3 linked regions of the Drosophila melanogaster genome follow. The protein of the gene in region 1 interacts with the protein of each later gene in a biochemical or structural test. Each region holds a gene or a part of one and is shown in the gene's direction. Other genes may lie near its edges. The genes, in order: spi, rasp and rho-4.

The links.
Region 2: of the proteins of spi (region 1) and rasp, one has a biochemical effect on the other in vitro, tested with the Drosophila melanogaster proteins (2 studies listed by BioGRID).
Region 3: of the proteins of spi (region 1) and rho-4, one has a biochemical effect on the other in vitro, tested with the Drosophila melanogaster proteins (3 studies listed by BioGRID).

The regions. Positions count from the first base shown.
Region 1 is NT_033779.5:19,575,716-19,586,186, reverse strand, and holds the start of spi (spitz), read left to right. Parts: upstream 1-8,871; 5' UTR 8,872-9,001; intron 9,002-10,471. Other genes in the region: CG10366 (uncharacterized protein), read right to left, coding at 1-204, 272-1,557, 1,635-1,841; PCNA2 (proliferating cell nuclear antigen 2), read left to right, coding at 2,260-2,367, 2,502-3,161; hakai, read left to right, coding at 3,817-4,180, 4,284-4,831, 4,902-5,411; Pmvk (phosphomevalonate kinase), read left to right, coding at 6,057-6,130, 6,234-6,729; msb1l, read right to left, coding at 7,179-8,147, 8,213-8,389. UniProt on the Drosophila melanogaster protein: Ligand for the EGF receptor (Gurken). Involved in a number of unrelated developmental choices, for example, dorsal-ventral axis formation, glial migration, sensory organ determination, and muscle development. It is required for photoreceptor determination.
Region 2 is NT_037436.4:3,153,309-3,163,779, forward strand, and holds the start of rasp (rasp), read left to right. Parts: upstream 1-8,871; 5' UTR 8,872-8,890; coding exon 8,891-10,393; 3' UTR 10,394-10,471. Other genes in the region: BtbVII (BTB-protein-VII), read left to right, coding at 2,650-3,833, 3,892-4,278; ND-30 (NADH dehydrogenase (ubiquinone) 30 kDa subunit), read right to left, coding at 5,249-5,907, 5,966-6,040, 6,101-6,164; CG15812 (uncharacterized protein), read left to right, coding at 6,789-6,791, 6,863-8,416. UniProt on the Drosophila melanogaster protein: Required in hedgehog (hh) expressing cells for production of appropriate signaling activity in embryos and in the imaginal precursors of adult tissues.
Region 3 is NC_004354.4:11,593,978-11,604,448, forward strand, and holds the start of rho-4 (rhomboid-4), read left to right. Parts: upstream 1-5,860; 5' UTR 5,861-6,109; coding exon 6,110-6,349; intron 6,350-9,265; exon of another isoform or gene 9,266-9,359; coding exon of another isoform or gene 9,360-9,902; exon of another isoform or gene 9,903-9,917; intron 9,918-10,097; exon of another isoform or gene 10,098-10,217; intron 10,218-10,334; coding exon 10,335-10,471. Other genes in the region: CG2533 (uncharacterized protein), read right to left, coding at 9,360-9,902.

The DNA.
Region 1 (10,471 bases):
AACGTGGGTATAGCCGCAGCTGGGGTATCAGCTTGGGTGGCGTTCTCCCCTCCGGGATCAGGCGCTGGTTCAGGCTGAGCATCTTGGATGACGGCGGGATTCGAAGCTGGAGTATCCTTGGTGGCTGGCCTCGGTTTTTTGCCGAAGGCGAAGCAGCCACTCTGTTTGGTGGCCACCGGCGACAGATTGTCCTTGTTCTTGGTGCTACAAACGGAATTGTAATGGAATCATTTAGAAATTGTCATTATATGTACGATTTTGGTTAACCTACAATGCCTTGAGCGCCTCCAGCTTGGGTATATTTCTGTTGTGCGACCTGCCGCCGCCCGCCGCTTCTTGAGCAGCCAGCTCCTCGGGATGCGACTTCTTCTTGTGCGTGCGGCAGTTGGAGCCGTTGGCAAAGGTGCGGTCGCAAAAATCGCAGGAGTAAGGCTTCAGTCCTGTGTGCAGGATGAGGTGATTCTTCAGCGCCTTGGCGCGCTTAAACTCCCGGCCGCAGTAGTCGCACTTGTGCTGCATCTGATCCGTGTGCACCAGTCGATGGCGATTCAAGGTGGTCCGCGAATTCAGCTGCATTCCGCATTCGGGGCAGATGTACTTGTGCGGATCATGCGTCTCCTTGTGGTGTTTCAGACGATTGGCCGACTTAAAGCACTTCTTGCACACCTCGCACTCGAAGGGGGCGTAGTCCGTGTGCTTGAGGACGTGCTCCTTGAGCGCGCTCATCGAGTGCACACCCACACCGCACTGCTCGCAAATCACCGGCCGCGGCCGCTCATCCAGGTGCATGTACTGCTCGTGCTGCTGGGCGGATGCACTGGTGGCGAACTTCTTGTCGCAACTGCTACAGGCGTACTGCTTGCGCTTGGGCAGGGGCACGTGCCATTTCATGTGCCTCTCCAGCTGGTAGTGTAGACGAAACTTCTTGGGGCAATCCGGGCATTGCAGCTGCTCGGTTGTGGGCTCAGTCTGGCCATGATCCTGGCGCAGGTGGCGCTGCAGGGTTTTGGACGTGGCGTAGCTTCGCAAGCACTCGTTGCACTGGTGTCTTTTCTCAGAGTCTGCTGCATCCTCTCCAGCTTTTTCGGTACTCGGCGAGGAGCCATCCAAGCTGCCAGCAGAAGAGTTATCCTCCTGAATGCCATACACATCGCAGAGGCTCATTAGTACACGATCTTCATTCGGTTCGTAGTCGGCATCCTGCTCATCTGGCTCCTCCGTCGGCTGATCCTGCTCCTGATCTACGCTTTCCTGCTTTTCCTCTGGCGTTAGTGGGTTTGCCAGCTCGTAAGGCGACTCCTCTGGCAGAAACTCGAGCTGTTCATCCAACTTCGGCTTCTTGTCCACATAGTGCACCTCAGTCTGCGTCTCCTCGTCCAGCAAACCAAATTTCGAGCGCAGCTCGTGGAGATTTGGCCTCTCCTGGCTGGGCGTGCTCTGCAGGATGCAGTAAAGCTTCTGCACGCGGGTAATCCGTTCCGAGAAATTCACCAGCGAGGTGACCAGCGACAGGCACTCACTGCATATCGTCTCCGGCAGCTCTTCACCTCGAGTTATCTGATGATGGGGCAAGAGAAATCAAGATAAGCTGGTTAGCTTGTGGAAATCCAAGGAGCCACGAGGAGCGCACTCACATTCACCCAGAAGTACTTGCCAATGGCGGTGGCCAGTTCCATGGAGGCTGCCTCGCCGGAATCCTCGTTCTTGAGGAACACATTCAAGTTGCCTTGCACGTCGTCCTTGGCGCACAGGCGACACCACTGTCGCCAGTCGCTGCTGGGATTTCGATCGACATGGGGAGCCGCCGGAGCAGCGTGCATCTCCACCTGCGCGGCGGCCATCGGGGAGCTCAGCAGTTGGTTATAAATAAACAAATAAATAAATAAAGCGTAAACATATTGGATTGGATGGCTGGATCCGAGCTGGAACTGGATCTCGAACTAGAACTGGAGCCGGAACCAGTGTTGCAGATGCTGCCAGATCAGTCGGATTAAGTGATTTCAATTGGATACCCTTAAATAGAAAAGGATTAACCTACAGCTTTAAGTCAAATTCTAAGATCTATGTTCACTAGCTTCATCATCAGACATCAAATGAACTTAAATCCGCAACCGAAACTAATCTAACAAGCTTTGTTCTTAACTCCGCAGCAGTCCGGCATCTCTACACTTGCAGCGAAACAGCTGACTGGCTTCATTTTGTTTGTTTCCAATTGTGAATTTAACGGGACAGCGATTGTCAATTTTGAAAATTGGAAAAATGCTCGAGGCGCGTTTGAGTCAGACTTTGCTGCTGAAGAAGATCGTCGATGCACTAAAGGAAATCATCGCCCAGGGAACGCTGGACTGCAGTGAAAATGGTCTGGAGGTGAAGAGAATAACCCTCCATCTGTCATTTTGTTTCGAATTCCCATAAAAGCTGTTAAGTAGTTCCATTGAGACTTGGGACTGAAAATGAAAAGTTGAGATAAGAAATAAAGCTTTTACAACTCTATATTCCAGCTGCAATCGATGGACAACTCCCACGTTTCGCTGGTGGCCCTAAGTCTGGCTTCGGATTGTTTTGAAAAGTTTCACTGCGATCGCAATGTCTCGCTGGGCTTGGATCTGAAATCCCTGGGCAAGGTGCTTAAGTGCGCCAATAGCGACGATGCGGTCACCATTAAGGCCGTTGACAGACCGGAGAAGATTACGCTCAGCTTCGAGTCGGATGGCAAGGAGCGCACGGCGGACTACGAGCTGAAGCTCCTCAATCTGGACCAGGATCACATGGAGATTCCGAAAAAGGACTACACCTGCTTCATCCAGTTGCCGTCGTCAGAGTTCGCGCGCATTTGCCGGGACATGAGCATGTTCGACGAGTCCCTGACGATCGCCTGCTCCTCGAAGGGCATCAGGTTCTTGGCCAAGGGAGATCTGGGCACGGCCAACATTCAGCTGAGTGCGGGCACCGCCATGGACGTGAGCATTGAGGTGCAGGAGCCCGTGACCCAGTCCTTCGCCGGTCGCTACCTCAACACCTTCACCAAGGCCACTCCGCTGGCAGATCGCGTCAAGCTCTACCTGTCCGACGAGCGGCCACTCCTGGTGGAGTATCCCATCGAGGATTACGGCCACATTCGATACTACCTTGCACCCAAGGTGAATGACCCCGATTTCTAGCTGAAGAACTACTCAACTCAGTTATTGCATAAATTCGAGCGCAATTTAAAGCATAAGGAAAGGGGATAAACGATATTTTTAGGCAACAAATACCAAAAATCATTTTTTTTAAAGCATAGTATAAAAATATAACTTGTAATAAAAACTATTTAATTGTAATTAAAAAAACATTTTACAAATTCAAATTTATATACGAAAAAACTAATTTTAAACCTTGTTATTAATTATTATTAAGTTTTTAAGGTTATCTTAATGTAGATCTCACATTTTCTATTCAGAATACTTTTGTTTTTTCATGTTGAAGCTACAAAAGAAATTAGTAAGCTATTAATATGATACAAGAACGGTTAAATAGATGCTTATAATTATTGTTTTTTTTTATGTTTTTTTTTACATTCATTAAATTCAAATTAGTTTAAAAATAATTGAAAAACAGATAAAATTAAAATTAAACAAGTAAAAATATTGTATTTTAAACTGACCAGTGATGCCGGACCTTTTGATGGCCAGTGTTGTTAGGCGCAGACTGGTCACCCTAAGTTACTGCACGTATGTGGGAACAGCTGACAACCCTGGCCAAACGCAAATGCGGAGCTAAACAAAAACCGAAAAACTTAAAAACCGGCATAAAATCCCACGCAAGTACAAGTGAACAATGGACACCGAGGAAGTGAAGCGCGGCCGCGGACGAGGGCGTGGCACCAGGGCTCGCGGGCGCGGACGTGGCCGAGGACGCGGTCGTGGCAAGAAAATCGACGACAGCAGCATCGCCGACGCCGCAGCCCTGGCGGCCAGCAGCTGTGCAGCCCTGGAGGACAGTCCGGGAAGACTGGACGCCTCCGAAGATTCGGTCATGCAGGAGCTCGACAAGGACGGCGAACTGGAAACGCCCGGCGCTCTGGAGGAGCCCCTGCCGCACGGTGCGCTAGGAGCGGTCGCCGCCAGCGGGAACATGACTCCAGCGACGCAACAGCCACAGGTCCTGCAGCAAGTGCCACCGCCCGTGATGAGCCAAACAAGTGAGTCTCCTCCCCTATTGAATGGTTGTCCAAGATAGTTAAATTGATTAACATCTTGGCTTGACCAATTCCTTGGTATCCAAACTTGAAGCATTGAACAAAGCTATCTCGCTATCTCTCGCCCGCGCAGTCGACATGGAGGCGGACATATCGCAACTGGAGGCGCCCACTTTCACCACGCTTTCGCGCGGACCGCCGGAGCCGATGCTGCGCCTTAAGTGGAACCACAAGGTGAGCCTGATCGGCGAGAAGGTGCTGAACCCGATGATCCACTGCTGCGATCAGTGCGACAAGCCGATCCTCGTCTACGGCCGCATGATACCCTGCAAGCATGTATTTTGCCTCAAGTGCGCCCGCGCCGAGCCCATCAAGAGTTGTCCCCGCTGCACGGACAAGGTGTTGCGCGTGGAGCAGAGTGGCCTGGGCACCGTGTTCATGTGCACGCACGGCGGCAGTCGCTACGGCAGCTCCGGCTGCCGTAGAACATACCTTTCGCAACGCGACCTGCAGGCGCACATCAATCACAGACATGTGGCGCCGCAGCCGCCACCGTTGCAGCCACAGCCGCAGCTGTCAGCCATGGCGGAGCAGCCAAAAATGACGGATCTGGGCGGCGTCGGTCTGGGCCTGGAGTTGCACAAGCAGCGCAAGGCGAGTGGTAGCTATGGCTCCTAAACTAAGCTGTCCTGTCTATAAAAAAACAACCGCTTGCCCCTTGCAGCTCTCCGAGTCGTCTGTCCCCATATCCGTTTCCGCCTCCATTGCGTCCCGTCCCGTCCTGTCGCGGCTGCCACTGACCGGCGGTGTCGGTAACATCGGTAGTATTGGTAGTATACCGCCACCAGGATCCGCCGCCGCCGCCCAAAACGCCATCCACGGCGGCCACTCGACGCTCACGCTGGCCAATTTGACCAGGATCAACAATGCCAATGCGCAGGAATGTCACCAGGGCAAGGCCTCGCTGCACCACACGCTCAAGAAGGGCACGCCCCACCAGTCCGAGTCGGTGGCGGATGCCTCCTACTACAGCAGCGTGCTCGCCTCCTTTGGCAGTGCGGCCGGGAATCCGGGTTCTGGGCCACCCGGCGGTGGGGCAACAGCAGCAGCACAGCCCGCCAATCCGAGTGGCAGCCATTCCGCTGTTGGCCCAGGTGCCCTGATTGGAGGCTCCACCGACGCGCCAACTGGTGGCTCGAGTGGCAACTGGCAGCAGTCGCAATACTACAGATAGGGGGACGAAAGCGAGGGGCTAGTAACCAGGGTAGACGCTTTAACGCAGGCACGCAGGCTTTTAATTAAGTGAACAAGTGTATGTTAAGCTGAACTGAACACTATTAAAGATATTTTACGGGGTTAGGCCAACCCGAACCAAAAAATAAATGCTACTCCGGTTTTAAAGCTTGGGCTAAACTTAATTCTTAATGTAGTAGTGAAGTGGTTATCGTGGCGAACAAATCAGGATAACAATTTTATGAATACCTTTGCGGTTCTCAAGCTGAACGAAATTCAAAAATCCCGCCCGATTGGCGGCCAATCGATGACGGTACGGTTTCCACTCGAGCTGAATGAAATTCAAAAAGCCCGCTCGATTGGCCGCCTATCGATGACGATACGCTCCAGCTGGTTGCTGTTCCAGCGAAATACAAAAGGTAAACAAATGCGACTTGGAGCACAGACTTCGAATGGAGCATTAGCATAAACACAACAGGCCGCAGTGCCGGAGTCAAGTGGCAGGGCCCAGGGTGAACACAACCACATCCAGTATCTGATGAGCACAGCGTAGAACTTAGGAAATCGAGGCCACAAGCAGAAGCAGCAGGAGAAGCAGCGGTTGTGAAAGAAGTTGGCGAGCAAAAGTGAAAGTTGCGCCAGAAAAATGATGAAAATTGTACTCATCAGCGGCAAGCGAAAGTGCGGCAAGGATTACATATCCGAGAGGCTGCAGCGGAGGTGGGTGCAGTGCATAGCTAGTCGTAGAAATCTTGCCAATTTGTTAAATTTGCACTGCTTGCTGCAGAAATATTCAGACAAATAAAATCCAATTCCATTCCAGATTGGGCTCCCGGTCGTGTATCGTTCGAATCTCAGAGCCCATTAAGTCGGAATGGGCTCGCAAGCTGCAGTTGGACCTGGACGCTCTCCTCGGTGATGGACCCTACAAGGAGAAGTACCGGCGCGACATGATTGTGTGGAGCGACGAGGTGCGGGCCCAGGACTACGGCTACTTCTGCCGCGTGGCCATGGAGGAGGCGCTGAGTCGCCAGCAGACGCCCTACATTCTGGTCAGCGATGTGCGGCGCAAGAACGACATCAGGTGGTTCCGGGAGACTTACGGGCCGGAACGAGTCATCACCTTGCGTCTAACATCCCGTCCAGAAACGCGGTCTGCACGGGGATGGACCTTTACCGCAGGAATAGACGATGTTCCCTCCGAGTGCGATCTGGATGATCTGGCCGACGGCTTCGACGTGGTGTTGGCCAACGACGAGGAACTCGACCAGGAGGCCATCGACATTCTGCTGGATAGGCTGCAGCTGCAGTATCGATAGAGCTTGGACCTCTCGGCTCACCATGCTTTGAACAAATGTATTTTTGATATATCACGTATTCCGGTCACAAATAGCGTAGTTAATGCAATACACTAGACAAGAATGAAGTTACGTACCTAATAGTAAATACTCTTGGTAACGAAATAGAGCTTGTGTGGCGGTTTTACTAACTTGCAACGTTTAAGACTTAATAGATTCAATGGATATACAAACTATATGTCGCTGATTATCGGTAATAGGTTACTTCAGGAATAAATAGCCCGGTTTCCAAATGTTAGAATAATACTCATGAGCAAACTGCATCCATCAATTTATGTGCACAATGTACTGGCAAGCAAACTAATAAAATGATTTATTAAAAGATGAGTAATAAAAGTATGTGTCGTGAGAAAAGACTATGATTTGGTGGGTTTTGATGGACATAAGGCAATAGTAGCTACTAAGCTGTGTTAGTAAACGGGTCCGCTGAATCCCTCTGTGCCAGAGATTATCCGCAGTTGATCGTTGAAGCTCTGCGCGGGCGGAATCTGATTCTTCTTAGAATCCTTTTCCATTGAACGGGATCGCAGATGCGGCTTATTCTTAACGCAACTGAGTGGAGTTCGCTTTTGTGCGGACAGGGGGGTACTGTTTGTCTTGGGCGTAATGGATCCTCCGGTCACCGGGGACCCCTCCTCTTGGTCAACATAGATCTTTGGCTTGTTGGCTCTGGCGGGCTTGCGCGGTGGCACACGACGCTTGTGACCCAAACGCACTCGCTCCAAATGTTTGTTCGACGGCACTTCTGGTAGCTGCTCCTCGCCAGCGACAAAGGAGGCCATGCTGCTGCCAGTGCTGAGATTCAGGGTCAGTGTTTCCAGGATGTGCTCCAGCATCTGGGCCTCGCGTGCCTCCTCCTCCTCGTCGTCGCAGAAGATGATGGGTGTGCGATCGACGCCCAGGCTGGGCGATCGGGGATCACCATGGGGCTGCTGTTCTGGCGGGGGCGTGGCCATTTTCACCTGGCCCTGCTCCAGATTCGGCTCCTGATACGGCAGCAGCTGTTGCTCGCAAGGCAAGGTTTCTTCCTGATCATAGGGCAGTGAAACAATCTCCAGGGAAATATTGTTGTGTGCAGCAGACGGCGGTGTGCCGAAGCTATCGCAGCTCTCCTCTAAATCCACTTGGGGCGGTGATGCAGGCACTGCTCTCTGTGCTGTACCCACCCTGGTGTCCACGAAGAGATCGGCGAATGTGTCATCCATATTAAGCGAACGAACCTCATCGAGGACCAGTGGAGTGCGATTCAGCTGAGGAGAGCGAGGATCGTTCAGGGAGAAGCCCTTGAGCAAACGTTTTCGCAGCATGGAGAAGGCATTTTCACTGGTGGTCACATGCTGCTCCTCCTCCTCAACGCGAGGTTTTGACGCCTGCAAGAACTACAACGCAGCCATCATTACTAGGGTTAGTAATATCAAAAAATACCTAATGCCTATAAACTCACGGTTAAAGGCGTGCGGCAGCCATTTGGTGATCGAGGATCGAGCAAAGCGTTGTTTTGCTCTCGATTCGGCGTCGTCATTTCCATTTGTTCTCGCTTTTCGCTGGCCAGGCGCATTTTGTTTAGTGTCGGCGTATCCGGCAGATATTCACCTTCCATTTTTGTTGCCTTTGCTCCCATTTTAATCAAATAATCTGACTTATTTTGCGACTTCTCACTAAATGTTGCGGGGTAAAATAAAATCGTTGCCGCGCATTTGTTTTGAAATGGCGTCGTGTGGAGTTGCCGGATCAGGAAATGCCAACTGGTAACAGTATTGTTAACGTCAGTCTAGCTATTTTCAAGCCAATTCTAGCAGTGATTACAAATGGATTTTATCACTAGTTCTTTCATTATTACTAATAACTAACTAATCGTTACAAATATAAATAGAAATTAAACAACGTTTGGGATATTTAGAACTTAAGTCTGTAATGTTTAGGTGGATTCTTCTTGTTTTACTCCTCTCAAATAAATTTATGAATTGATTTTTATTTATAGTACATAAGAAAATGTAAAATTCAGTAAACAAATAAACTAATATTAAAGTTATCAGATATTTTTTTTAATTTCGCTTTACAGCACTGATTTTTATGCTGCCTCGCGATAGTGTCATCTCCCTCCAGCTAAAGTCTGGCAACACTTGTTCATTTAAGACGCGACACAACGAATTGTACTCTTTCAGTTTTTCAAAAAGAAAATGGCATGAAAACAGGCCAAAAAAGTGCGACAAACGAAGAGCTAAATCCCAAAGTAAGTGGTAAAGTAAGTGATAAACATCCAAATGAAAGCAACCCAAATGCATACATAAATGCGCGAGTGTGTGTGCTAAATTATAACAGTAGTGACTGTGTACCTTCACGGAAAAAGGGAAATGAAGACAGGAAACTGGGTTTTTTTACTCCAGATGACTATTTTTATTGAATTTACGCAGTTGCTGTACTAAATAGGCGAGTGTTTTTGTGTATGTGTGTGTGGGCGCCGCAAGCAGCAGTAAATTCTCCTGTGTGTATATGTGTTTTTTTTTTCTATGGCCGTCTCCTTTTTACACACACTAGCGCACAATACAGCTGCGCCTTGTTTTTTGCCGACATTTTTTCTGCTTAGTTTTATTTATTTTATTTCAATTAGGCAGACAAATTATTTTGCTCGCTTTGTGGAGCCATCAATGTGGGTTAGTAAGCTAAAGTGCTGCGTAAAATTGCGCTATTGTTTTATTTGCCAATTGTAGCGCAAAAAGTAAGCAAATTGTATACACACAAACGCCAGAGCGCATGTCGTGCAGACTTTCTCTCTTGCTCCAAATTGCGAGTGTATGCATCTGCGTTCGTGTGCGTGTGAGTACTGAAAACAACCGAATTTCATTCATTGCTCATTTCCGAGAAAAACTACACGCTACACTCGTCGCCATCTGCAATTGCACCTCTGTGTGCGTAAGTCACTGTATCACAAGTACATTATATGAACTATGTATATAGGAGCCGCTGCAGTTGTGCAACATGTTAATTGATTCCAGGGGCTGCTGGGCGTGGCAGGTGCAAAAGCCCCTTCCACCTGGCTTCTATTTACAGAAACTTCTTCCCACTTCCAGAGTTCAACATTCTTGCTCTTCCCGTCGCTTGACCGCGTTTTTCAAACATTCCACGAGCGGTCTTAGCACACTCACACCGGCACGCTATGTGTGTATACATACGTATGTACGTATATTGATTTCAATCAACTTTGAAGCGCGCTCTGGCCTTCTCCTTCGCTCATTCGGCGGTGTGCTATGCTCTGCCTGTCTCTCTCGTGCTCATCTGTCAATTGAGCACCACGTCCGTTTGTCGGCTCATCAGCAATTTACACAGACACACACTTCACCGCGCTGCATCCGTGTGGGTAAATTCCATTTCCTGTTTATAATATTGCGGCGTCTTGTCTGTCTGTCTGTCTGGCGTACAGCGGAGACGCAAACCAGCGTCCCTTTCGCCTTTCGTTCCGCTCATCTCGCTGCACAATGGATCGATCCTAAATAAGCATCTTTTAAAAAGTATTCAAAGTTTGTAAATCGTAACGCATAGCAAATATATTGTTATCGTCATAGTTTGTCATGGTTATAGTTTTGTTAGCTTATTTTTGTTATTCTAAACATTTTAAATTAATACTACATCTTTTTGCAAATCGGATATCCGTCTACTTTCGCTCTTATCCCACGTACATATCTCCCACTTACGATCATCCGCG
Region 2 (10,471 bases), on another chromosome or scaffold:
AGTTTGCCGGCCGGAGGAAACTCGCACCCAGCGATCGGGGTGATGAGCCTGTTCGATCCTCGATACATGGATTCGCCCGGCAATGTGCACTCGATGACGCGGCAGCGTTACATCGAAGCCACCGGCGGCGGAGCAGGTGCGGGAACGGGCGCAGGCACCGGCACCATCAACGTTAATCCGACCACCGCCATGAATCTACAGAGTATTAACTTCAACTCAATATAGAATACGATTTCGAGCCAGGCGGGGACGGCCACTCTGCTCCAGGCAGCCGCCGTAATGGCCGCCAGCGAGCCAGCGGAATCCCTGAGCATATCAGCCATGCCCGTCTCCGTTCCAATGGGCATGGCGCACAGTTTCCTCATCAACAACTTCGTAACGGTGGCTGCACCGCCGGTGGCCACGGTGACCAGCACGGGCCTGCAGTACTTGGACAAGTCGTAGGTCCGGACACCGAGCCCCCAAATTGATCGATACAGGTATTAGAGAAACGGCAGCAATCTACTGTATATATAGCGGACCGCTTGTACGGCACAGTGGCAATATATGCAGCGATATATGCCGACCCAGGATGGCACAGAAGTGGAATCGGATTCCTGCGCTGAGCTGAGCTGAGCTAAGCGAAGCAGGAGGATCGCAAGGAAGTGAGGCGGAAGTGAACGGCGAGGAGCGAAGCGAGTTAAGAGAGCAGGCAAGCCGGCCGCACTTGTAATAATACTTTCATAGAACCTAATTCCTTGAGCTAAACGTTTTGAACCCTACATTTTTACGATTGTTAACTAAGAAATCGGTAGTGCAGATCTTCGATATACATACATATATATATATATATATAGCTATATAGCTATATTACGTGTAAAAGAATAATGTAATTGTACATAAATTATAAAATTTTATTAGTGTTAATCGCGAACATCAAATGATTTGTAAGCAACTGCAGCTAAAAAGTGGTGCTGTGTGCCAGCAGCCGACACAAACCTTGCGGAATCCGCTCCATATTCCACTTTTTGTAATGCAAGCAAGCAATGGACTAAACCAAAAATTCTATCTGTAATCGTAATGATAAACATTAAGGACAAAATGAGATTTATTGGCAATTTCTGGCGAAAATTTCCCACATCCTGCGGTTTGCTAGGCTCTGGCGCATCAGAAATAAGTTTTCTTCCTCGTTTCGAAAAGAATTTAATTTCTGCACTTGTGTTACAATAGCAAATACCAGTATGTAGGAACTCCCCGTGAGCATTATATTTAGCTTCCTATCAATGTGAGACCATTTTCTGTGTACAGTGACGCAAGTCCACTCTATTCGAAGCATAAGGTAATCGTTGGCGACTCCCGACTCCATGCCGCAGAATGTCAAGAGCAGGGAGATCCGAGGATCGCTGGACCGCGTACAATAGACTAAGATACTAGATCGACGGAGGAGGAGGAGCATGTAAGCGAACCGGATATGTATGATAAATATGTACCAACCAATATATATGTATATATATTTATATTTGTGAATGTATCCACACATTTTTTCATTTCCTTCTGAGTTACTCAAGGTGTCAATTCCTGTTTTTATGGCTGCGCTGGCACCTGGTCCTACGGTGATCGACTCTAGGTTATATATTTTCAAATCCGACAACATATCTGAGAATGGGGCGTTTTCCAGGGGGACTCGTTTACTTCTGCACTTATTTGTACATAGGCAATGTACATATAGCGAAGCGACGAGATCGGTGACGGACTACAAGATACAGATACGCAAACAAACGAAACTTAAAGATAACTCGTAACCACCCAAAATCCTAAACGGAGACTGCAGCTAAAGGCAAATAGGAAACCAAAACAGAAACGAACACGGAAGGCGGAGATACGAACGATTCCGGTTTTGAATAACGATTACGTATAGTGTGTTTTTTTAAACGATTCATATGAATATTGTACTAATAGAGAACTTTTTATATTGTGTCAAGGCATACTAAGAACTAAGCGTGATTTGTTAGAAGTCATAGAGTAACGTAAACTTTGATAATGGACTTTTATTACTGTACACTCGCCCACACGCATCATATACCACGAAGGATCCCTACGATCCCAAGCCAACCCGATCCGATCCGATCCCAGACCACAGAACCACTGAAAAATACGAAACAACCAAACAGAATAGATCAGAACAGAACACGGATGAAACAATGCGAAAATAGCCGAAACAATAAGCAAATATTACTAACTCTGTTTCCTACAATTGCAAAGTACCAATAACTACGCTAGTTATGTGTGTGTTAAATATATATATAAATTATTTAAATCAGCGTAAGTGCATAAAGAACCGATTGTATTATAAGTTGCATGTACCATACCAAGTAATGCGCGCCACAAACGAATCCAATATCGCGATGGAACGAACATTCTAGACTGTAGTCGATGTGCAAGAAACGAATAAACTTTCAAAACTACAACATACTCCACCTGCTCCCCTGGCTTCATTTCACTTTTCCCATTCAGAAGGACACGGTTGCGAATAGTTTCAATTGAAATGATTTGGAAATGATGGACCCAACATATTCGCAATATTCATATTTCATAATGAATCTTGGGCAACCGTATCCACGCTTTTTAGGCCGGTTCAAAAACTAATCCTTTGACACTATTTTCTTACAGAACCCAGTCCGGCGCATGCTCCTCATCCGCCACATCCTCCGCTGGGGGCTGCGAGCAGCAGCAGCGGTGGCAGCGGAAGCTTCGAGCGCTCCTTCAGCATCGGAGGCGTCGGATCCGTCGAATGTGATCCAGATGGTACGCCCAGTTCGCCAGCGGTGATGGGCACCAAGCGCAACCGGGTGCTCACCCGTCAGCCGAGGGTGAAGCGGGACAGTGACAGCATCTCGTCCACGAATCAGATATCCCCGGATACGGCTGCCACGACGCTCGACTTTGATCCATTCAATGCTGCGGGCGCCACGAGTGCCACGGCCAGAGATTACTCTACGACGGGCTCGCATCATCTGCACCATCAGTCAGCTGTGCACCACCATCATCACCTGCTAACCGTTCCACCGCGGATCGAGCGCCATGCCTCTGAACCGGCACCCAGTTTGGCCCCCTCCACGCCGCACCTGCTCAGCGTGCCGTCCAGCACTCCCTATCTCATCAAGCAGCACTCGGATCCGTTGCTGCCTCGCCAGTCCGCACTGCACATGGCCGGATCCGGTTCTGGATCCAGTTCCGCGATGGCAACTGGCAGCAATCCGTTTGCCCCGCTGCACCGCCAATACTCGCATCCGTTGTCGGGTTCAAATGCCAGCTATGTCACTCCGGCGCCGCTTCACCATCCGCACCACATCTCACTGCCCGAGTCCATCTACGCCTCGGGGTCTCCGCCGCCGGCCGGCTCCTCGCAATACCTGGTGCCCACGCGCGTAGTGGCCTGTCCAGTGGTTTCTAGTGAAACGGCGGCAACGCCCACTAATGCCAGTCCCGGCTCCTCGTCGACAGTGTCGGCGGCCGTGTCTGTGGTTACCTCACCCAATGCGGGGCTACAGAACAGCGCCAGTAGGCATCCGTTGTCGCCCACTTTCTCCATTGGATCTGATGTGGCACACGAGCGAAGGTCTCCGCACTCTCCCTCCATCAGCAGATCGCAAGTCGTGGAGCGGGCGGGGAAGAATCCAGCAGAGGCCGCCAACGGAGGCGGTTCGAGGCTGCGGACTTCCAAGTCTGCCTCGGGCTCCATCACTGGCACCCATCTGCATCCCGGCCAGGCCACCATGAGCAGTTCGTTTGAGCATTTGCCCACGCTGCGTGTCAAGAACGAGGAACTGCAGCGATCGGTGTCTTCACCTCAGGTGAGTTGGATGTGTACCCGACCGAAAGATCACTCACACTGACTTACCTTTGTTGCAGACCCAACGGGAGATCATCACTCTCGAGAATCCGCGTTCTAGTCATTGTCCGGTCATTCGACCGGGTCCGGCGCTGGGCTGCAACTTCTGTTGGAACACCATCGACGGGCATGGACGCATTTTGCGCCGCAAAACGAAATACCATTGCCCGGAGTGCCAGACGAATTTGTGCATTGTGCCCTGTTTCCAGGAGTATCACGAGCGGCTGAACAACGAGGCGGCCGCTGCATCCAGTGGAGCGGCAGCGGGCGATAATCAGCTGAGCAGCAGCACGACGGGATCGGGGAGCAGCAGCAGTGGCAAGGCATCGCCGTACGTCTCCTCTGCCGGCAGTAGCAGCAGTGGAGCGGGTGCAGCTCGTCATTATACCAAGACGGAATCGATATAATCTGGAGCTGCCGTGACCAAGCCCGCATATTTGTATTTGTGACAGGACGGCCGCCGAAAGGTTGACCTCCATCAGACTAGAAGCCACGCATTGCTCGTCCTTCATTCTGGAACATGGTCCACACATGGCCGTCTGTCGAATTTGTTTTTTTGTCAGCAGGAAGCGCGAAAAACGCGCGCTCACGAACTGCACCCAAATTTTCATTTGTTGTCCCAGTCCCACTGTGCATCCGGCCCGGAGTCCGGGCACATGGACTGCGAGAGAGGGCGCCAGGTGGCGCCAGAGAATTGTTTTTTGAGCCGTGCCCAGATGCACGCTGCCATTGTAAAGTAACGAAAATCTTTTGGAACACCGTCGGAATGCGGGGTGAAAACTTTTTTAAATCGCTAAATGTAATAATATGTTTATGTGTGTGTATCTATGTACTATATGTGTATGTTCTTGTACAAAAAAAAAACCGAACTAAAATCTAACAAAAATAAAACGTTGACGACGGTGCAGCTCGAAGCTCGAATTACGATAAGGTTTTCACCAAGTACAACTATCACTACCACTACCCCAATCCGCTCCGGCCTAAACTTAAGTACGTCCTTGCACCTGTACTTTCGCCGGGCACCGCTGCGCAGGCGCACGAATTGTCTAGTGGCCCACACTTGTTTTACTTAACGTTTTATATCTATGTATGTATGTACGTATATGCACATGGCCCTCGAGGAGGTTTTCGGATGTGCTAGATCCGGCGAATTCGTTTAATTCTCAGTGTAAACTACCATGTATGTAAACAATACGGAAATCAATAAATACTTGTGACCCTCTGGTTTGATACGAATTGCGTTTTCATGTGGAAGTAGTTTAGGAACGAGCCAAGAAAGCTAAATAGCTAAGTAGACCGTCGTTTCCATTATGTTTAAACATCTCATAGTGATCACGTTTTATTGATCTAATTACCATTTAACAAACCGACTTCGGATTACTTCTTGGCTGGAGCCTGTGGCGGAACTACCTCGGCGGGGGGATTAGCGTTGCGGAAGTTGGGGAACTGTTCCCAAGGCGCCGACAAGTCAAACTTCCTGAACTCCTGGGCCAACTCCAAGGGCTCGCAGACGACTCGCTTCTTCTCATCATCGTAGCGCAGCTCTACGTAGCCGGACAGCGGGAAGTCGCGGCGCTGGGGATGTCCCTCAAAACCGTAATCGGTCAGGATGCGGCGCAAGTCGGGATGGTTGGCAAAGAACACGCCGTACATGTCCCAGATCTCACGTTCGTACCAGTTGGCCGCCTTATGCACCTCGCAGGCGGAGTCCAGAGGAGTCAGCTCATCGGTGTAGGTCTTAACGCGGATGCGCGAATTGTAGCGCAGCGAGAGCAAATTGTAGACCACCTCGAATCGGTTCTTGCGACAGGGCACATCCACGCCGGCAATGTCAACCAGGTTGGTAAACTGCGCCTGATGATGATCCTTAAGGAACTGCAGCACGGGCACCACGCCCTCTGGCGCAATAAGCACCTCCAGCTCATCGCCGGCGGTCAGCTGCACCTTCTGCACGTACTTGGGCAGGCACTCGGCCACATAGCGCCCGAAATCGGAGAGATGCGAGCGAGCGACTGCGTCCGGCTGGCGGACAGTGGCTGTGGGTGGAATGTCTTACATGTAATTGACACCGCGATAAAGTCGACTTTTACCTACGCTTATCCGCCTTCTTAGGCTCCACTGGCGTTGTACTGGCCATCCGAAGAGCAGTGGATCCAGCAGCGGGCACCACTGATTGTTGAAGGGTTAGAATAGATCAGTTGAAGCTCTAGAGGCAAGGCATTTACCAACCATGTTTGGCCGACAGAGCGGCGACTGCGGCACGGGCACCCAGATTCCTGATTAAGGCCGCCATTCTACAAACTGTTCAATATAAATTCAACAATTTGCTCCGTTTTTGACAATTTATGTAATGCTAAAATGTCAATATAGTTGTTGGAGCCTAGGGTTGTCAGTGCGCCAAATTAATCTACTCGACAGCCCTACTTCGGTATTTTGACAATTTCGGTACAACACAAATACCGCACATACATTATTGTATTTCGTGTACGTTAACACCGAATTATTCTTCATTAAAAACCTCAACATTTTTTTGGAATATTTGCTTAAATGATTTATATAAAAAATAAATATACCCTACTACTTGATTTATTATTTAATTAAAAATACCAACACGTTCCTTGAAGTACAGCAGATGGAAAACATTTACAATTATTCTTCATTACCAACCACAAAACTTTTCTAGAATATTTGGTTAAATGATTTTTAAAAAAAAGAAATGTACCCTACTACTTCATTTATTATTTCATTAAAAATACCAACACGTTCCTTGAAGTACATCTCATGGAAAACATACCGAAATACCGAGATCTTAGGTGCATTCGACTACCCTGGCTGAAAACTGTGACAACGCGTTGCGTTTGGAATTGCGAGAATTGAAAACTTCTTGGAAATCAATTGGAAATCAAAACACAACAAGATGGTAAGTGAAACGCGTCCTCCCAAATCCCCGGGATAAGTGAAATTTAAATCTACAATCGTCGCCGTTTGCAGAATCATCTTAAGTGGATGGGCCACTCATCCACGATAATGGACATCCAGCGCTCGCTGCGTAATGATAATCAGCACTGCGAGGTGGTGCTGGCCTCCAGGGACGGCGTTCGAGTGCGCGCCCATCTATTCGTGCTAAGCACTTGCAGCGAACTGATGCGCAACCTCCTGGTGGACGTTCCGCGCGGCCAGGAGGCAACCATAATGCTGCCCGACATCCGCGGAGATTTGCTGGAGTGCATGCTGTCCTTCATTTACATGGGCGAGACTAGCCTGCCCTCCGCGTCGCTCCCCGAGTTCCTGGAGGCCATTAACCTCCTCGGCATCAAATCTGCCATCAGCTTTGAGTGCAATCCATCGGCTAGTCCACCCAGTGTCGATGTAGAGAACCATTCGTTAGCCGTGGAGTCGGCCAAGTCCATTACAGGACTCCAAATCGCTGAGGCCGAGCTGCTGGACGACGAGGAAGAGCCACATCCGATGGTCTCCGTCCCAGCCACTACACTCGCGGGTTCTCAACACCAGCCCAGCCATTCCAGTCGGTCATTGGAGTACATTGATGTCTACGAGCCGCCGAAGATCACCTACTCCATCGAGCACATGGACGGAAGTTCCAGCGGCAACCAATTTATACTCACCGAGAACACGGGCACTTTCACCATAACGCAGTCAGCATCGAGTTTGTCCAAAATTGAGGCAGATGAAACGGGTACCAGTGGCGCTGAAGTGGACCTGGGCGATGATGACGTGGATGCGGACCTTGCTGAGGATTCTGAGGAGCACGAATCACAAATGATCGACGAGGAGTTCGCGCAAGCCGATCCTCTTATGGAACTAGAAGCTGGTACTGAAATGGACGACGATGACGACGTGCACGACCAACTTGTGGACGAGGAAATAGACGATAAGCCCCGCAAGTTGGGCGGGGGAAAGACGCGAATCCGTCGCCCCATAAGTGCGAAGGCTGTCAAACGATTGTCCGATTGCAAGCCAACGCGAATCCAGCAGTTCGCAGCTCTGAAACGTGAGGTAAAAGACGATATCAACGATGCTTTGGATCTGGCGGCCGACGCGGTTATCATCGAGGGCTTAAGCCTACAAAAGGCCGCCGACCGGTTTGATATCTCCAAGACAGTCCTCTGGAGACGCGTGCGCACTAATCCCGCCTACATGCGAAACAATCGGGAACGACCATCCCTGCAAGAGGCCTACGAGCGACTGAAGAATGGACATTCTTTAAAGAGCATCAGCAGTGAGTTGCAAATCCCCATGTCCACGTTGCACAGACACAAGGTTCGTCTGTCCGCCCAGGGACGCCTGCCCAACTTCGTGTCCTGCCGAAAGCGCGACAATACGCCCAAGGATGAGCTGCGCGACAAATTAGCCAAGGCGGTGCATGCCTGCCTGAATGAGGGAATGTCCCAAAACCACGCGGCCAACCTCTTCGAGATCCCCAAGAGCACGCTCTGGAGACACCTGCAGCGACGCACGACGAGCCAGAATAAAAAGGTCAAGAAGGAATTGAAGGCCAATTACGGAGACGATATGCTAAACTAGAAATAAGCCTTCGGAGTTCTGGTTTTACAAACGTTCAGCTGGAATCAATAAGTTACCATTAAGAAGCCATAAGCATAGGGTTTAACTTCATGTTGTCCCATCAGTGTATGTACATCAACCATATCCTATCTCCTGATGAAACCAAAATTGAGTCCGGAAGAGCAGCAAGAGATGCTATTCTAGAGGTAGTTTTGTAGACTTAGTTCTATATGTAGATACCATTACCATTTTAACTGCTGCTCTTTTATTGTTCACTCCATCGTAATTGGTTAATTAAATACAACCAAAAATTAACAAAAACTTCTTTTTAAATGGGTCAAATTTATAACATGAGAGAAATATGTACATGCATGTAATTAAAATGCCGGTACTCTTCTCCAGCAAGGGTATAAAAATATCGATATTTTCGCTGGTTTTTCACATCCCTATCGCAATCTTTTCCCGGAATGAAGAGTCCAAATCGGTGGTGTAGTGATGTCAAGGTTACCAGACCGATCCCTGCTCACCCGCTGCGAAATTTTCGTCTACTTCGGGGTCTATATAGCGTATATAGTTGTGGGCCTGTACAAGATCTATGGGCTGCGGGATCACATAGTCAAGGAGGCAAAGTTCCAGTTTCCGGAGGGCTGGAGTTTGTATCCTTTTTCCCAGCGGCGTCGGGATGACAGCAACGATGAGCTGGAGAACTTTGGAGACTTTATCGTCAGCTTTTGGCCCTTTTACTTGCTGCACGTGGCTGTCCAAGGATTCATACGCTGGAAACGTCCCCGCCTTCAGTGTCTGGGATTCATCGGCGTCTGTGCCTTGGCTCTTAGTGTAAACCTGGACTGGTCATCGATGGTACTACTAGTCACATTGATAGCCAGCTACTACATCGTTTCCCTGCTCTCACTAAAATTTCTCGTGTGGCTTTTGTCCGCTGGCTGGATACTGTGCATCAATGTGATGCAAAAGAATGTCTGGTGGACAGATCGCGTTGGTTACACGGAATACGTCCTGGTGATTGTCACAATGTCCTGGAGTGTGCTTCGCGGATGCAGTTATTCCCTGTCCAAGATTGGAGCTAAGCAGGAGGATCTTACGAGATACAGCCTCGTCCAGTATCTGGGCTACGCCATGTACTTTCCCTGTCTGACCTATGGGCCGATCATTAGCTACCAGAGGTTCGCAGCCCGGAGGGAGGATGAAGTGCAAAACTGGCTGGGATTCGTCGGAGGAGTCCTGCGCAGCGCCATATGGTGGTTGGTGATGCAGTGCGCCCTCCACTATTTCTATATACACTACATGTCGCGGGATGTGCGAATGGTGGAGATGATGGACTCGGTGTTTTGGCAGCACTCCGCCGGCTATTTCATGGGCCAGTTCTTTTTCCTGTACTACGTGGTGACATACGGCTTGGGAATAGCTTTTGCTGTGCAGGATGGCATCCCAGCGCCCAATAGACCGCGCTGCATCGGACGCATCCACTTCTACTCGGACATGTGGAAGTACTTCGATGAGGGTCTGTACGAATTCCTTTTCCAGAACATTTACGCAGAGCTGTGCGGCAAGCGATCATCGGCAGCGGCCAAGTTCGGTGCCACCGCATTGACCTTCGCCTTTGTGTTCGTCTGGCATGGATGCTACACCTATGTGCTTATCTGGAGCATTCTGAACTTCCTCTGCCTGGCTGCAGAGAAGGTGTTTAAGACGTTTACCGCGATGCCGGAGTACCAGCGGTGGACACAGCGTCATCTGGGAGCCGTGGGTGCTCAGCGCTTGTACGCAATGCTGGCCACCCAGCTCTTCATTCCGGCCGCCTTCTCCAATGTCTACTTTATCGGCGGACAGGAGATTGGAGACTTTCTAATGCGTGGCGCCTATCTTAGTGGAGTGGGCAACTATGTGGCACTCTGCTTCTGCAGCTATTGTTTTTTTCAATGCTCTGAGTTGCTCCTGACCAAGTCGGATGGTCGCTCCAAGACCAAAACTTTTTGACCTCGCCAAAAGTCTGTCTAGATTTACGTGAATCTGACTACTTATGAACGAACTTGTATTATAAGACGGCTTTAGAAT
Region 3 (10,471 bases), on another chromosome or scaffold:
AAATTTCTAGTAGTTTTCAAGTCATTTTGGAGAGCACATAGTGGTTAATTCATGCACCATATTAATGCATGGGAAATTGGCGAAAAACAAACACTCAGCCGGCACTTCGCGGCACTCACACCTACACAATCATACGTGCGTGTGAATGAAGTTGCTTGTGCTTGTGGTGGTCTGCCCTGTTGCCGTCTTCTTCTCACCCTCGGTGAAAGTTGAGTTCGATGAATCATCTGAGCATCGATCCGCTATGGCGGCGATCTTCACTCTTCGCACTCACTCAACAGGGGGATTCTATCTACGAATCCATCAGTTTCGGCCGCTTCGATTCTAGTTTAGTTAGCACTCTCTTCTGGTTGATTTGGGCAGATTCATATATATATATGTATATAGGTATGTATGATCATACGATTAGCATACGAGATAAGCTGCCAATCCAATCCAAACACAAGGCGCTGGAAATCGGCATTCCATACACATTCCTACTCTCTTTTGGCTGGAAATCTTATCCGATTTCCCTCGCTTCAAACATCAAAATACTCTGTTTGGGTTTCCCGAGCGTTGATTCATTAATCTAGCCATGATATAACAACCAAAATAATATCAAGCTATAGAATATATTTTTTAAAGAAAAAAAATCAGTCTGCGGGCATCCAGTTCTCAGCGAGAACTTAGCGGCATCCAGCTAATGGAGGAGACAGTAGTGGCTTCGCCACAGCAGCCATGCCTTCGTCGTTCCGTACGTCTAGCGGGTAGGATGCGTTCGCAGAACTATAGAGCCATTCCCAAGGTTATGAATTTGCGGCGCAGCACGCGGCTGGCGGGAATCCGGGAACATGCCACCTCCGTTGTTGTGGAAAACGGGACGCGCCTTCAAAGTGCAGTCCAAAAGAAACGCACGCGAAAAGTGAAACCTGCGCCCAAGGCCTGGATGGCCAATAATACTAAATGTTTACTGGGCCATCTTAACAATGGAAACGTTAAGCAATTGCAGGAGATTCCAGGGATCGGTTCAAAGACCGCCTCTATTTTGGCCGTGCACAGGTCAGTTGACATACGTTCATTTGCGTTTTACCCAATAACCCTTAATCCTTAATCCACATTTTTCAGATCCCGCCTGGGTTGCTTCAAGAATCTAATTGAAGTCAAATCCCTGCCCATTTGGTCGGGAAATAAATGGAAACGATTTTCTCAAATTAACTGTCTTGACACTTGATACAATTACTAATTAAATAGCATTTTAATTCGAATATAGTATAGTGATTGTTATTTATGTGGCATATACTTTGATTTTACAACTATAGTAGGAGTAAAAAAAAAGGAGCCGGATATCCTTAAAGAAACAGTTATATATGTGATTTATTTTTTAAATAGGCTTACCTAGGATATATTATATAATATATTAAATTAACAAAACAAGTTGGCATTTTAAATTAAAGCACAAATTGATTGTTATAAAAGTATTAAACAAAAAAAACTAGTCAAAAAAGAAAAACTTTCAAATAAATGACTTATTAAAAGTGACCAAATAAATAATATTCATTAACTTTTTTTTTCAAATTTAACTCCCTTTCAGCGTTGCCAGATTGGGTTGCATGCGGGATTTGATTATTTTTATTCACAAATTCTGGGTAGAGGGCCACTTGTGCTGCTCCGGCAGCTGGTCACACTGTACAGTCGCGCAGTTTGGTTTCTTTGGTGCGAGAAGACGGTTGGTGTTGTTATTTTTTTTTTAGTTCGCTCCGCTGTTTTTAGGTGCTACGCGCTTTATGGCCCGCTCTTAATCTTATCGCAAATCAAATCAAACCGCGGCCAATGAGCACCGTAATTTCACTTTTTGGCTAACGGTAACGGCACTTCCGCTCTCCGAATTCGATATTCAAACAGTCGCATTCCATCGAAAAGCGAAACAAGAAGTGGCCGTAAAAATGACCGTGAAAACAGTGAATCGCCAGCAGAGCCAAACGCCCACCCAACAACGGCAATTGCATCAGCAGCGGGACGTCGAGAATGGGCTCTATCCCACGATTTCGGACGGAATATGCCACATTATTATCGGATAGAATACAGGAAATGTAGGATTTAGGTAAGGGAATAATAAATTTCTAGTAGTTTTCAAGTCATTTTGGAGAGCACATAGTGGTTAATTCATGTACCATATTAATGCATGGGAAATTGGCGAAAAACAAACACTCAGCCGGCACTTCGCGGCACTCACACCTACACAATCATACGTGCGTGTGAATGAAGTTGCTTGTGCTTGTGGTGGTCTGCCCTGTTGCCGTCTTCTTCTCACCCTCGGTGAAAGTTGAGTTCGATGAATCATCTGAGCATCGATCCGCTATGGCGGCGATCTTCACTCTTCGCACTCACTCAACAGGGGGATTCTATCTACGAATCCATCAGTTTCGGCCGCTTCGATTCTAGTTTAGTTAGCACTCTCTTCTGGTTGATTTGGGCAGATTCATATATATATATGTATATAGGTATGTATGATCATACGATTAGCATACGAGATAAGCTGCCAATCCAATCCAAACACAAGGCGCTGGAAATCGGCATTCCATACACATTCCTACTCTCTTTTGGCTGGAAATCTTATCCGATTTCCCTCGCTTCAAACATCAAAATACTCTGTTTGGGTTTCCCGAGCGTTGATTCATTAATCTAGCCATGATATAACAACCAAAATAATATCAAGCTATAGAATATATTTTTTAAAGAAAAAAAATCAGTCTGCGGGCATCCAGTTCTCAGCGAGAACTTAGCGGCATCCAGCTAATGGAGGAGACAGTAGTGGCTTCGCCACAGCAGCCATGCCTTCGTCGTTCCGTACGTCTAGCGGGTAGGATGCGTTCGCAGAACTATAGAGCCATTCCCAAGGTTATGAATTTGCGGCGCAGCACGCGGCTGGCGGGAATCCGGGAACATGCCACCTCCGTTGTTGTGGAAAACGGGACGCGCCTTCAAAGTGCAGTCCAAAAGAAACGCACGCGAAAAGTGAAACCTGCGCCCAAGGCCTGGATGGCCAATAATACTAAATGTTTACTGGGCCATCTTAACAATGGAAACGTTAAGCAATTGCAGGAGATTCCAGGGATCGGTTCAAAGACCGCCTCTATTTTGGCCTTGCACAGGTCAGTTGACATACGTTCATTTGCGTTTTACCCAATAACCCTTAATCCTTAATCCACATTTTTCAGATCCCGCCTGGGTTGCTTCAAGAATCTAATTGAAGTCAAATCCCTGCCCATTTGGTCGGGAAATAAATGGAAACGATTTTCTCAAATTAACTGTCTTGACACTTGATACAATTACTAATTAAATAGCATTTTAATTCGAATATAGTATAGTGATTGTTATTTATGTGGCATATACTTTGATTTTACAACTATAGTAGGAGTAAAAAAAAAGGAGCCGGATATCCTTAAAGAAACAGTTATATATGTGATTTATTTTTTAAATAGGCTTACCTAGGATATATTATATAATATATTAAATTAACAAAACAAGTTGGCATTTTAAATTAAAGCACAAATTGATTGTTATAAAAGTATTAAACAAAAAAAACTAGTCAAAAAAGAAAAACTTTCAAATAAATGACTTATTAAAAGTGACCAAATAAATAATATTCATTAACTTTTTTTTTCAAATTTAACTCCCTTTCAGCGTTGCCAGATTGGGTTGCATGCGGGATTTGATTATTTTTATTCACAAATTCTGGGTAGAGGGCCACTTGTGCTGCTCCGGCAGCTGGTCACACTGTACAGTCGCGCAGTTTGGTTTCTTTGGTGCGAGAAGACGGTTGGTGTTGTTATTTTTTTTTTAGTTCGCTCCGCTGTTTTTAGGTGCTACGCGCTTTATGGCCCGCTCTTAATCTTATCGCAAATCAAATCAAACCGCGGCCAATGAGCACCGTAATTTCACTTTTTGGCTAACGGTAACGGCACTTCCGCTCTCCGAATTCGATATTCAAACAGTCGCATTCCATCGAAAAGCGAAACAAGAAGTGGCCGTAAAAATGACCGTGAAAACAGTGAATCGCCAGCAGAGCCAAACGCCCACCCAGCAACGGCAATTGCATCAGCAGCGGGACGTCGAGAATGGGCTCTATCCCACGATTTCGGACGGAATATGCCACATTATTATCGGATAGAATACAGGAAATGTAGGATTTAGGTAAGGGAATAATAAATTTCTAGTAGTTTTCAAGTCATTTTGGAGAGCACATAGTGGTTAATTCATGCACCATATTAATGCATGGGAAATTGGCGAAAAACAAACACTCAGCCGGCACTTCGCGGCACTCACACCTACACAATCATACGTGCGTGTGAATGAAGTTGCTTGTGCTTGTGGTGGTCTGCCCTGTTGCCGTCTTCTTCTCACCCTCGGTGAAAGTTGAGTTCAATGAATCATCTGAGCATCGATCCGCTATGGCGGCGATCTTCACTCTTCGCACTCACTCAACAGGGGGATTCTATCTACGAATCCATCAGTTTCGGCCGCTTCGATTCTAGTTTAGTTAGCACTCTCTTCTGGTTGATTTGGGCAGATTCATATATATATATGTATATAGGTATGTATGATCATACGATTAGCATACGAGATAAGCTGCCAATCCAATCCAAACACAAGGCGCTGGAAATCGGCATTCCATACACATTCCTACTCTCTTTTGGCTGGAAATCTTATCCGATTTCCCTCGCTTCAAACATCAAAATACTCTGTTTGGGTTTCCCGAGCGTTGATTCATTAATCTAGCCATGATATAACAACCAAAATAATATCAAGCTATAGAATATATTTTTTAAAGAAAAAAAATCAGTCTGCGGGCATCCAGTTCTCAGCGAGAACTTAGCGGCATCCAGCTAATGGAGGAGACAGTAGTGGCTTCGCCACAGCAGCCATGCCTTCGTCGTTCCGTACGTCTAGCGGGTAGGATGCGTTCGCAGAACTATAGAGCCATTCCCAAGGTTATGAATTTGCGGCGCAGCACGCGGCTGGCGGGAATCCGGGAACATGCCACCTCCGTTGTTGTGGAAAACGGGACGCGCCTTCAAAGTGCAGTCCAAAAGAAACGCACGCGAAAAGTGAAACCTGCGCCCAAGGCCTGGATGGCCAATAATACTAAATGTTTACTGGGCCATCTTAACAATGGAAACGTTAAGCAATTGCAGGAGATTCCAGGGATCGGTTCAAAGACCGCCTCTATTTTGGCCGTGCACAGGTCAGTTGACATACGTTCATTTGCGTTTTACCCAATAACCCTTAATCCTTAATCCACATTTTTCAGATCCCGCCTGGGTTGCTTCAAGAATCTAATTGAAGTCAAATCCCTGCCCATTTGGTCGGGAAATAAATGGAAACGATTTTCTCAAATTAACTGTCTTGACACTTGATACAATTACTAATTAAATAGCATTTTAATTCGAATATAGTATAGTGATTGTTATTTATGTGGCATATACTTTGATTTTACAACTATAGTAGGAGTAAAAAAAAAGGAGCCGGATATCCTTAAAGAAACAGTTATATATGTGATTTATTTTTTAAATAGGCTTACCTAGGATATATTATATAATATATTAAATTAACAAAACAAGTTGGCATTTTAAATTAAAGCACAAATTGATTGTTATAAAAGTATTAAACAAAAAAAACTAGTCAAAAAAGAAAAACTTTCAAATAAATGACTTATTAAAAGTGACCAAATAAATAATATTCATTAACTTTTTTTTTCAAATTTAACTCCCTTTCAGCGTTGCCAGATTGGGTTGCATGCGGGATTTGATTATTTTTATGCACAAATTCTGGGTAGAGAGCCACTTGTGCTGCTCCGGCAGCTGGTCACACTGTACAGTCGCGCAGTTTGGTTTCTTTGGTGCGAGAAGACGGTTGGTGTTGTTATTTTTTTTTTTAGTTCGCTCCGCTGTTTTTAGGTGCTACGCGCTTTATGGCCCGCTCTTAATCTTATCGCAAATCAAATCAAACCGCGGCCAATGAGCACCGTAATTTCACTTTTTGGCTAACGGTAACGGCACTTCCGCTCTCCGAATTCGATATTCAAACAGTCGCATTCCATCGAAAAGCGAAACAAGAAGTGGCCGCAAAAATGCCCGTGAAAACAGTGAATCGCCAGCAGAGCCAAACGCCCGCCCAACAACTGCAATTGCAGCAGCAGCGGGACGTCGAGAATGGGCTCTATCCCACGATTCCGGCCGAGCGACGATCGCCCCCCTCGCGTCCGCAAACGCTGCGACAGGACACCATCGATATGGAGGAAATACCGCTCAATCAGACGAACAGCCAGGAGCCAGAGGATCGGCGCAAAATGCACGAGATATTTGACAAGGTATGTAGGACTTATAATACTCGCAATTCCCTTCCCCAGCACAAGTGGCAGCTCCTCCTAAGTATTAGATCTTTTCTGGTTTGTAGAGCCAGCTAACCAAGTAGTAGCCATGGTAACTATACCTATAAAGGTATTACTGTTCACACGGTGTTACAACTTAGCACTATATCTTTAAAGTAAATCTATGATGATTTAACGTTGATTTAATAGTTATGCCACATTATTATCGGATAGAATACAGGAAATGTAGGATTTAGGTAAGGGAATAATAAATTTCTATTAGTTTTCAAGTCATTTTGGAGAGCACATAGTGGTTAATTCATTAGTTAGAACCAGCTACGACTAATTATCCCATTTAAACTGGCTGGTGGTAGGCAACAGAAGGTTAATGCTGAGATCTTGTGAAATTGCACCATATTAATGCATGGGAAATTCGCGAAAAACAGAAGAACGACTGTAATTAAAACACACAGCCGGCACTTCGCGGCACTCACACACACACACTCATACGTGCGTGTGAATGAAGTTGCTTGTGCTTGTGTGGTCGGCCCTGTTGCCGTCTTCTTCTCACCCTCGGTGAAAGTTGAGTTCGATGAATCATCTGAGCATCGATCCGCTATGGCGGCGCTCTTCACTCTTCGCACTCTCCCAAGAAAACCCCACCTTTAACCCTTCAATGGGCCGGCGGGCGAAAACCGACACGATCAGATGCTTTTGTTTGCAAACATGCCAGTGGAACAAACTTAAGGTATACATTATTAAAAAAAAACCTTGTATCTTGTGGTGATTAATAAATACGTGAGATTTGATTCCCGTTTAACATTAATGGGTTAAGAATTCGATTATAGTGCCTAAATAATCAACTGCTATATGTACTTATATCATACAAGCATAATTACACTTTTCGGTGTATTTAACCCATCACCGCTTGTCTGTCAGTCAATTTTGCACTTTCGCAGAATTCCGTATCACATTTTATAAGCTTTTTTTCGCTGCAGTTTGTTTTCTTAAAGTAGAAAAATCGTGTGTGCTGCAAAAAAAAATGGGGGGGAGGGTGGTTGCCTACTGTTGGGGGACTGAGTTTTCTTATCGTGACAGAGGGTTGGGGGAAAAAGACCAGCAAAAAAAGAAGAAGAAAAACCGGTTATAAATTATTGTTTGTTCGCTTTGAGTTCTGCCTTTGTTGTTGTTGTTGCTCTTGCTTTATTCTTGGTGGCGTTAGTCACTTAACCCCCAACTGACACCCACCGCCCACCTGTTTGCCCGAGTGTTACCATTATCAATTTAACAATTTGTGGATTTCGTCTTTTTTAATTCTACCAGTGCGATTGCCTCAACGTGCAACGTCCTCTTGATTCACCATTTGTTTATAGCCATATAGAGTGTGTAGCGTTCATATCGCGTTCAATGTACCCCGGCAACAAGGGGATTCTATCTACGAATCCATCAGTTTTGGCCGCTTCGATTCCAGTTTAGTTAGCACTCTCTCCTGGTTGATTTGGACAGATACGTATATATGTATGTATATAGGTATTCTAACCATACGATTAGCATACAAGATGAGCTGCCAATCCAATCCAAACACATTCGATGCCGCTGGAAATCGGCATTCCAGACACATTCCTATTCTCTTTTGGCTGGAAATCTTATCTGAATTCCCTCGCTACAAACATTCAAGTGGCCAAAATACTCTGCTTGGGTTTTCCGAGCGTTGATTCAATAATCTAGCCATGATATAACAACCAAAATAATAGCAAGCTATAGAACATATTTTGTCAAAAAAAAAAAAATCACCAATCTCAACCAACATTATTCGTTGGAAAGTTCAACTTGAACCCGGAGGGGACTGTATCATTTTGATATTTTTGAAATATCATGTTTGATATGTCACAGATAACAGTCTTTCTGATATGGGAAAATAGCAGATAGATGACCATTTTCGTTGATATTTTTATTCATTGAGCTGTGCAAAAGAGTAAATCTTAAGTTGTCTGTTGGCTAATATAGGAAAGTTTTGGAACTTCAGGTGTTCCAATGGTTTTACAATTAACTTTTTCCGAAAACCATATTTTTTACAAACTGACCAAGTGGCTTTCGTGTGTTCCGAACACACTTGACGACTATGACTAAGTCCCAATCCCCGCGAGACTCCGTTACCGCTGGCAGCTTATCGCCTGGTTTTGATAATAACCAACTTTTTGGTTTTGTTTTTTCCCCCTGTTCTGTTTTATTTTAAGAACACCTAAAGGTGTAAAATATTAGTTTACGACTGGAAAGGAGGATACATATTTATGTGCATGTACATACATGGGCACCTATCTAATTGTCTATAGTATATGCCAATGTCTTTCCTCTTTTTTTTTGCGTGAATCTAACTTTTAAGTGCGAGCGTTGACTTTTCGCTGGGTTTTCTTTGTTATCCCAGTTCCTAGTTATTTACTTTACTAAATACCTTAACCATACTTAAAAGGTCAGTGCGCATAGCTTACCTATGACAAATGTTTTTTATGATCGAAAACCGAGAATACAAAGCGATAAGACAGTAACATCCATATAGGGACTTTCTATTGGCGAAATGGCAATTGAGAATTTCGAACTTCTGAAAGGAATAGGTGACAAATGTTTTTTTTTTAGCAAAATCCTTTTGTATTTACCAATGGGGATTATTGACGTTTTGCAAAAACCATCAGTTGCGTTTAGTTCACAATAACTTTGGATGCCTTTGTGCAACTTCATGTGACTTTGTTTCGATTTGTTTTCGATTAGCCCCGTTTTGGATTTCTAGTTTCTCGTCTCGATCTGTGGCATTTATTCCTGCCCATTTATGGCCACTTTTTGGTCCGACAGCGTTCGCGGCTGTGTTGCAAGTGCTGATGGTGATGCAATCAAAAAGGAGGAAAATCACTCAACAAACATAATAATATGTGGGTACTTGTTTATTTGTGAACTCATGCTGCAGGTTTGAGTGTGTTACGCTATGATTTAGAATAGTTCCTCGGGTGAATGAGATTCATTCGGAGTCTAAGGGAAGGTCAAAGAAAGTGGAATTTTGGCTCTTGGGGGCGAGGCAACTGGTGGCCTGCTCCTCCTCTGGCGCATCCACAGCATCGTGCCAATCCTGGGAATCGTGCTCCTCCTGCTCCTTCTGATCCGTTAGCTGGAGCAGACGCATCCGCAAGCGCTGCTCTTCCAGTTGAATGACTGAAGGCCTAGGAGCAGCCACTTCGCGAATAAGCGATGGCATGGCGGTCGTCCAGTTTGGCAGCAGAGTTAACCCCGTTGCCCTGCCCTGCCGCTCCAGACGCTGCAACTGGCGGCGCTCCATGGCCATCAGTTCCCGCTTGGCCCGGGCCCGCACCTGGTCGTCGCTGGTCGTGGTGCAGAGACTCAGGGCCGCAAAGATGCCGGCCATGCCCAGGTAGAGAACCAGTACGGTCACAATGCCGGACGATTCCTGCAGCGGCTCCTCCTCCTCCGCGACGTCGCATGTGGGCGTCGGTGTCCAGCCAAGCCAAGAGGTCACGTGGCGGGTCATCTCCATCAGTTGCGACATCGTTCTCGGTTGAATCTTGAGGCGAAGATACAAATATATATAATATATGTATGGTTTATACTAAATAATTATGTCATTAACCGATGACACCAAGCAAATGGTAGTTTCTTTACTTCCTTCTAGGGAAATGTATTCAGTAGTTTATTTTTATTACAGCCTAGTTTTAAAAGGTAGGATGAATGCGCTGATATGTACCCAATTGTAATCGGTGTTTCCAAGATGTTGTATTTCAAGATTTTTTGGATTCGGTGCGGGCCTGCCCGACCACTCGGAATTTCAGCTAGGTACTGAGTGTTCGAATCCCTAATGTTTTCGAACCCCCATGACGCTTTAGTATATGGCCTACTGTGTTTAAATGTTGACTTACCCAGATTCTATGTGTGAGCTTAATCATGATGACTAACCAACCATATGTATATGCCTCTCACACAGCACGACTCTGACAGAGATGGGCTGATCAACACGCACGAGCTGAAGGAACTGATCTCGGATGGCTATTGCCGGGACATTCCCGCCTACATCGCCGACCAGATCCTGAAGCGCAGCGATCAGGATAACGACGGCCACCT